Nothobranchius furzeri: one gene and its partner. The protein of the gene in region 2 purifies or fractionates together with the protein of the main gene of each other region. This does not show direct contact. Links are inferred from orthologs where the notes say so. Each region holds a gene or a part of one and is shown on either strand. Other genes may lie near its edges.

Region 1 (3,983 bases), on a different chromosome or scaffold from region 2:
CACCCTTTTTTTTTGCATTTCTAAAGGTATAAAAACACGAAATCTAACTTGTCAGAAGAAAACTTAAGGATGGAGTGCCAGCCAACTTATCTTATCAGATATTTTGATTGATATTCCTTTGCATTGATCACTGCAAGTTCACATGAACAAAAATTCCACAGCTTTAAATTATGAGCTTTGCTACCTCTGGTGGAGAAAAGCTTTTAGAGCTTTATTATGGCGTTTTCCATCAGACAATGTTGGCCTTCCTATGCCATGTGGATGTGTTTCTTTTTAATATAGAACAAAAATATATCTGATTAACCCTTCAAAACTTGAAATAAAAAACTTATTACATTTAAACTTACATAATAGTCACAAGATAATTTGAATGGTACGTGTGTATTTGAGAAATAACGTCCCTCACGTATTTGTTCCAAATGCCTTGGTTTAAAATGACTTATTTTCAAAATTATAGTATTTTAATGTGTTTTGTGCTTGATGCATTCTTATTCTCATTGCTTATTTGTTTAGATTATTTTAAGAGAAAGCTCAGTAGATTGCAATTGTTGTCATGTCATCAATTCACAACAGGACAATTCCATTTGAAAGTATATAAAAAAGAAAGTCACAAGAAAATGTCCCTTTATTTTTATTTTTTGCTTTCATTCTTGTTAAATGCACCAGCACACAAATGTCTTCTACCTGGATTACCTCTTTATAATTTTTTATAGTGTTTTAGATTTTAAAGGACCCCTCACTGGTAAGAAGACTTTTTACTCAAAGCAACTTGGAAATTTGTAACTAAAAATATTTTTGCTATTTCAAATGTGAATAGAATATGTTTTAATAGTTGTGCTCATCCTTTTTTAGCAATGGCTTATTATTTTGTATTTGAAATTTAAGAAAAAAGCGATTCTTTTGTTTCTACTGGTTTCCAATGAGAACATTTAAATGACGAAAACACGAAATGCACGGACCCAGTTCTACAAACATTCATTGAACGAGTTAACATTTATAAAATTTTGAATTAGCATTTTATGTACCTTTATAAGAATCGTGTAATGAAACGTATTTACCTCGTTAGTTTTGTCTTCTTGGTCAAAAACAATTCAGTAACAACCGATGGTAACAACGCTCCCCCATGTGCCCCTGTGAAAAAAAAACTACTTGTTTCTAGTCGGACGCATTTGCTCGGTGCACTTTCAGAAAGGAGCGCCTCGTTCTCACGTTTCGGTGAGTGTAGTGGTGCAGGTGAGTGAACACGCTTATTATAAAATAATATAAAATTCAAACATATTACAGTTTATGCTGCCCGATTGCTGTTGTCTGTGTAATTTGAAGAAAGTCTTATGATGTTGGAGTGTTTGACGTCCCCATTCTGCTTGTTTTGAATGTTAGCTTTAAATAAAGCGATGAATGAAGCTAGCTGTTTGCTAACACAACATTAGCCACGGAATGCTATTCTATTCCTGTTTTAACGCTGGCAATGTAGCCGCACATGTTTCGGTATGTTACATAACTAATGTGGTGGCAGTTAAAAGTTTTCTTGCTTTCACGTATGACATTAATATTTGGAAAGTGATCGAAACTTTGTATTACGCTAGCTAATGTATTGTAGCGCATGGGTTATAACTGTCACTATGACAACCAGCTGGACAGAACAGACCTCTCAGACGTTTTCTGATCTAGCAAACAACATAAATATCGTTTTATTGTGGTACATTATTTACTAAAAGGTGTGTCTCATTGCCAAATCAAGTTTTGGATCTGATCTTTACCGTTTTAGTATGATCAGGTTTACACATTAACTATTGTTTTTAATAATTTGACTTATTTTGAGTCATAATGTGAGATACAGACAAATAACTGGTCAGTAGAAGTTGCATTGCTTAATTATTCAGAAACGTAAAACAATCTACTTAATATTACAAGTTTTTCTTGTTGTGTTTCACCTGATGCAGATGGCGGCTACAAAGGTTCCAGAGGTTCGTGATATCACACGGATTGAAAGAATTGGTAGGTGTGGACGTCTTGAACCGTTAACTAATCAAAAAGCTAATTTATCATAAGGGTGTATGATGCTGCTAGTTGTGTGTGCTCTTTATTTTTCCTTCAAATCCACCTTTTTGCGTTCAGGGGCCCATTCTCACATTCGGGGCCTTGGCCTGGATGATGCTTTGGAGCCAAGACAGGTACTCTTGTCTCTGATTCATTTGCTGTGGACTTCCTGTTCATGCTCTCTAAAGAAACTCTGTTAAGTCTTTTAAAAGAAAAAAGCTGTTTGTAAAATGTGTTGTTTGGTTACTACTAATGCATATACTTTGCTAGAACTGGTTAAACTGAAAATACAGTAGATAGCCTGTGTAACCTCAACATCACATCACTTCAGACATTTTCTCTTATATTATCTACCAACACTTTAGAATATTGAGCAGTGTTGTTCTTTTAGGTTTAGTTAATTTTCCAGCATTAATGTGTGTGAGGTTTTGTCTGAAGGAGACTTGATCCTCTTCACCTGCAGGTTTCTCAGGGGATGGTTGGACAGCTGGCTTCCCGTCGGGCAGCAGGGGTCATCTTGGAGATGATCAAAGACGGCCACATTGCTGGCAGGGCGGTCCTGATCGCTGGCCAACCTGGCACGGGAAAGACTGCCATTGCAATGGGTGAGAGCCGAGTTGGAAGCTGTCCATGGATGTAAATGTTTCAAGTTGCATTTTGTTTTGAATCAAGAGTTCCTGCATCCTGTTCCTGATGAGCTTGTCTTATAGGCATCGCACAGTCTCTCGGCTCAGACACGCCCTTCACAGCTCTGGCTGGTAGCGAGATCTTCTCCCTGGAAATGAGCAAGACCGAGGCACTGAGCCAAGCTTTTAGAAAAGCCATTGGAGTGAGGATCAAGTGAGACAGCGGTCACAGATACAGCATTATTTAATTATTTTTGTATGAAATGATTTGCCTTTGACTGTTTTTTCCGTATTTACAGAGAGGAGACGGAGATTATTGAAGGAGAGGTTGTGGAAATCCAGATTGATAGACCGGCCACCGGAACGGTGGGATACTTTCTCTAATGTTAGCTAGTAGTCTCAGAATTTATTGTCTCCCACTTTCTGTTAGCTTAAATACATTGATGTTATTCTCTTTGAAGAGTCCTGTTTAATAAAAATTATATTTTCTTTCCGTCAGGGTGCAAAAGTAGGCAAGCTGACTCTAAAGACGACAGAGATGGAGACTATCTATGACCTGGGCAACAAGATGATTGACAGTCTCAGTAAGGAGAAGGTTCAAGCTGGGTAGGTTCTGTTCGCACAACAAGACTCTCTAGTCTCGTTTTTCTCTGCTGGAGCGACGTTAGAACAAATCTATTTACTCTGTTTTTACAGAGATGTTATTACAATTGATAAAGCCACTGGGAAAATCAGCAAGTTGGGTCGCTCCTTCACCAGAGCCCGAGACTACGACGCCATGGGCGCTCAGGTGTGATGCCACTGTATTCAGATTGAGGATGCAGGTTGACTGATTGCTGGATTATTTTCTTTGTTTTGTCTTTTGTAGACCCAGTTTGTCCAATGTCCGGAGGGAGAGCTGCAGAAGAGAAAGGAGGTGGTACATACGGTGTCCCTCCATGAGATCGATGTCATCAACAGCCGCACCCAGGGCTTCCTGGCTCTCTTCTCCGGAGACACCGGAGAGATCAAGTCCGAGGTCCGGGAGCAGATAAATGCCAAAGTGTGCGAGTGGAGGGAAGAAGGCAAGGCAGAGATTATTCCCGGAGTAAGTTTTAGTGTGTGCAGATTTTTGAAGTTTGGGGTTTCTACCTGCTTAAACTACATAACAAATCATTTTGTTTGTTGTTTTTTCCAGGTGTTGTTTATCGATGAGGTCCATATGCTGGACATGGAGTGCTTTTCCTTCCTGAACCGGGCCTTGGAGAGTGACCTTTCTCCTGTTCTCATCATGGCAACCAACAGAGGCATCACCCGGTAGTGTTTATGCACATCCAG
Region 2 (4,133 bases):
ATAGTTTAAAATGTTTTGTCGACATTTTAGAGATGTTCCACAAAGTTTATGAACATGATGTCATCACATGACAGCGCCGAGAGAAGAAATGGCAGCTCGCGTACCAGCTGACCGGGAGTCTTAAAAAAACCACAACTTCTGGTGAACTCTTATGAGGTCATTTGTGCAAACAAAAGAGGACAGCGAAAGCCGCCCGCCCCGTCGGCACGGCAGAGCAGCGAGCCGTAGCTGAAGAGGCAGATTTCTGTCTGCAGCCGTCATTAAAAGGCACGACTACAGGCCTTTCTGGTGGAAATAAGCAGCCAGCCTTCCCCAGATGTCACGACTAGCCCAAAGGTAACCGGCCGTCTGCCACAAGCGAGTTTTCAGCAGTTGGGGGCTGAAGCCGAAAAAGGTAAACGTGCAGGTTTTACAGGTGAAAAATCTTTTTATAAGCTTGTTTTTTTATTAAAGTTGTTAATATTAGGTGTGTTATGTTGTTAGTGTTTGTTATTGAGTTTCTGAACGGTGAAGGTCCAAACCAACAGTTTGAAGGCTTACGTCATCATTTTTAAATTAGTCCCAGTAATACCGCACACCGTGGTAAAATGTGGAGGAAGCTAGGTGGGATTAAAATGTGAGCACCGCCCACGTCTAGATGTTATCAGTGACATTTTACCATACGGCTGACCAGGACCTCTACATATCAGCATCAGCAAAAGAAAAACCAATTTGTCAATCTCTAATCAGCAACCACTCCATTCAGAGGCTGCACCAAATCCTCTGGGTTGGACCAGAACAGCAGAAATGTGGTCAACTGGATCAGAACTCTGGAGTATTGTTTCAAGAGCTGGGGTCTAAGAGCTCTGGTCCAAAGAGGAAAAGGAACATCCAGGCTGTCAGCATCAGGACCAAAAGCCCGTTCCTGGTTCAGAAACAAAATAAGACCCGCGAGTCTTTATCATCAGAAGTTAAAGAGGATGGCTACTGATGAAGAGCCTGTTGGAAAAGGTAGGTTTTAAGCTTGCGCTTGAACAAAGATAACTCAAAAGTCAAACTCAGGTCATCAGGGAGTTTGTTCCAGACTGCTGGAGTCACGACTGAAAAAGAGCGGTCACCCCAGTGCTTGTATCGAGGTCGAGGGACTGAGTTAGTGGACCGTGTTAGCTGACGTAAGGACAAGGAGTCAGAGAGATAGGCAGGACCGAGGCCATGGATGCTCGTGAACATTATGAATTTGAATTGTGTTCTGAAAAATACAGGAAGCCAGTGCAGTTCTAAGCGAATGGGAGTAATATGGCTGCCCCAAGGTGTGTTAGTGAGGAGACGGGCTGCGGTATTTTGGGCTAGCTGCAGACGAGCGATGGAGGACTTGGATAGGGCATTGCAGTAACCGATGTGCGAGCTTATAAGGGCATGACTGACTTTTTCCAGGTCCTAAGTTGATAAAAACTTGACTTGACCGCCGCATTGATCTGTTTGTCGAAATTCATGTGTTCATCGAAGATGACACTGAGGTTTCAAACATGTTGCTTACGTCTAATGGCCTGCTGATCGAGGTCAGTAGAGACCTGATGGTGTAAAAAAAAATCCACATTCTAGAAAAGTGCTGATCCAGATTCAGGACCACAGGTCTGGATCTGGATGCTGGGAGGCACTAAAACCACATCTGGACTGACTGTTGCTGCTGCCCCCACCTGCACATCCAGCCCTCATAAATCCCCACCCCTATTACCTGTTGTGTGACTACAGCATCCCAGTCGTTGCTATGGTTACCTGAAGCCTTTGGGAAGCGGGTCAGACTTTGACCTGACCGTTGTGGTGAAAACAGTGTAGTACTGGTGTTGTACCGCTACAGCGGCGTTTCCTTTATGATTACACTTTTGTTAATCACGACACTGCTGACACGGTGGGGTCTCTTTATGGAGTTAAATGTTGTGTAAAAGCCTTCAAACCCTCCAGAACCCTCCCGTTTAGCCTCGTTAGCATCCCCGTTAGCCTGTTAGCTCCCTACCTGCTCCACCGTGGCCGGGTCCATGAACTGCAACCGGGCGGCGTTCTCGTACTCGTCCTCGCTGTTGTTCCCTGCTCCTTCCTCCGTATCCTGACTGGACCCTACACCTCCGGGTCCGGTCACCCCCGGCTGGCCTCCCCCGGCCAGAGCAGCGACCACCCCACCGGAGCAGGTTCCTGCCTGCCGCCGCCTCTTGCTCAGCCCGGGCCCGGAGCAGCAACCGCCTATCGACCCGCCGCATCCAACGACACCGGCAGGCACAACAAGCTCCCCGCGGGAGCCGGTAACCATTCCACCGCTACCGTCTCTGCCATCTCCCGGCCCTACCGGGGACACGGAGCCAACGGGCGGCGGAGAGGCCTGCTGCGGCCGGGAGCTCGCCTCGATGCTCCGCCTGTCCTCTCTGGCGGAGGGGGGAGCAGTCTGGTAAGACCACGGCGGAGGGGAGGCTCTGGGTCGGGCTCCGGTCCGCCCAGCGTGCGGGTGTGGGTGTTGGTGAGGGTCGGAGCTGCTCCGACGGTCGCTGTCATCGGCGTGGTCCGAGACGCCGACACCAGAGCTGGGCTTCTTCTTGGGGAGGATCGTCATGGTGGAGCAGGGAGGCGGTCAGAGGGTGACGAGTCCCCGTTCTGGATAAAACTAGTCGGTCTATTCACCTTCTGAACGAGCGGTTCGGCTCCAGTCACCGAGTTAAGACCCTTAACGGACCGAAACCGACCAAAGAAACAACAATTCTGTTTACATTCGACGGTGGAGTTGAACAAAAACAAAAAGCGTCTCCCTCTTCCCGTTCTCCAAAACATCAACACAGCCTGACTGGGCGCTGTGACGTAACATCCGGCCGGCAGCGTCATGACGTAAACCTGACCTTTAACACACAGAATCACTATTTTTATTATTAATCATTTATTCTATAAAACTCTACAAAACATTTTTGTTTTAATTCTTATCGCTTTTCAGCTTTTTGTGTAAAATTACGAAACAAACAAAACAAAAAAACAATAAAAACTGATGCTGCGAATCATTTAAAGAGCAACTCACCCCCCAAATAAACTTTTGCTTAGTCAACCCCTACCAGAGTCTAACTCCACTCTCACTTCATGTTTGAAAAATGCAACAAATGCTGTTGCCTGGCAGACCGAGAAGGCGGAGCTGCTAACAAATACACACACACACACAGGCTCACGACAGCATTGTGACATCATAATGTACCAGTTTACATCATAGCATACCTCTTCGCCAATAGCGGTGGCAGATTTAAATTGAAATACAGTGCAGAGTTTTTACCTGACAACGGCACAACACTGCCAGTTTTAGGCAGAATATTTAAATTTTAACTAAGATGCACTAAAGTGCCAAATTATTGACGACACGTGTCTGCAGCACGATTAGACACTCGTTTATTTAGTTTATCAGCAAAAAAAAAGTTTATTTGGGGGGGTGACTTGCTCTTTAAGCAACAACAGAATGCTGTTATTTACACTTGATTAAAAGTCATTTGTTTTGCTCTTTGTGATGATTTTTCTTTCAGTGATAAGTAGGGCCAGCAGTAGCTCAAGAGGTTGGGTTGGTTGTCCAGTAATCAGAAGGTTGCAGGTCCGATCCCGGCTCCCACCAGAGAATCCTGCTGTTGTGTCCTTGGGCAAGAAAATTACCCCCCACCCCCCCCAACCCCACCCCGCCCGCCCCCTGGTGGCGGTCGGAAGGACCGGTGACACCTGGGTTTGGCAGCCTCGCCTCCGTCAGTGTGCCCCAGGGCAGCTGTGGCTATGTTGTAGCTCATCACCACCAGTGTGTGAACGGATGAATGATACACTGACACTGAAAGGCGCTATAAAAGTGCAGTTCAAGTCAAAGTTTTGAATGAGAAAATAATCACCCCCTCTGAAGGACTACAATCGTATTGCTCTGTGAATAACGCCAGCTGTTGCTGGAGCTGACATCAGACGGACCATGGGTGGCAATCCACATTTAAAAGATTTCAGGGAAAGAGTTGTGGACAGACTACGGAAAATTTCAATCTCAAGGAGCAGCACAGTAAAGTCTCCAATAAAGAAGGGGACAGTGTTTGGTGCAACTGGGACCCTCCCTTGTTCTGTGTGGAAGTGCAAGGAGGAAACTGATGTTCTACAGACTTTTT

What was found.
Region 1: the proteins of otud5a (region 2) and ruvbl2 purify together in Homo sapiens (affinity purification with mass spectrometry, with the first as the bait; 3 studies listed by BioGRID). This does not show direct contact. The link is inferred for Nothobranchius furzeri from reciprocal best matches to the Homo sapiens genes OTUD5 and RUVBL2.

The regions. Positions count from the first base shown.
Region 1 is NC_091750.1:65,678,108-65,682,090, forward strand, and holds the start of ruvbl2 (ruvB-like 2), read left to right. Parts: upstream 1-1,161; 5' UTR 1,162-1,233; intron 1,234-1,943; coding exon 1,944-1,998; intron 1,999-2,118; coding exon 2,119-2,174; intron 2,175-2,503; coding exon 2,504-2,645; intron 2,646-2,750; coding exon 2,751-2,880; intron 2,881-2,965; coding exon 2,966-3,032; intron 3,033-3,165; coding exon 3,166-3,272; intron 3,273-3,362; coding exon 3,363-3,456; intron 3,457-3,534; coding exon 3,535-3,753; intron 3,754-3,843; coding exon 3,844-3,962; intron 3,963-3,983. UniProt on the Homo sapiens protein: Possesses single-stranded DNA-stimulated ATPase and ATP-dependent DNA helicase (5' to 3') activity; hexamerization is thought to be critical for ATP hydrolysis and adjacent subunits in the ring-like structure contribute to the ATPase activity.
Region 2 is NC_091755.1:47,032,955-47,037,087, reverse strand, and holds the start of otud5a (OTU domain-containing protein 5-A), read right to left. Parts: upstream 2,807-4,133; 5' UTR 2,582-2,806; coding exon 1,994-2,581; intron 1-1,993. UniProt on the Homo sapiens protein: Deubiquitinating enzyme that functions as a negative regulator of the innate immune system. Has peptidase activity towards 'Lys-48'- and 'Lys-63'-linked polyubiquitin chains. Can also cleave 'Lys-11'-linked ubiquitin chains (in vitro).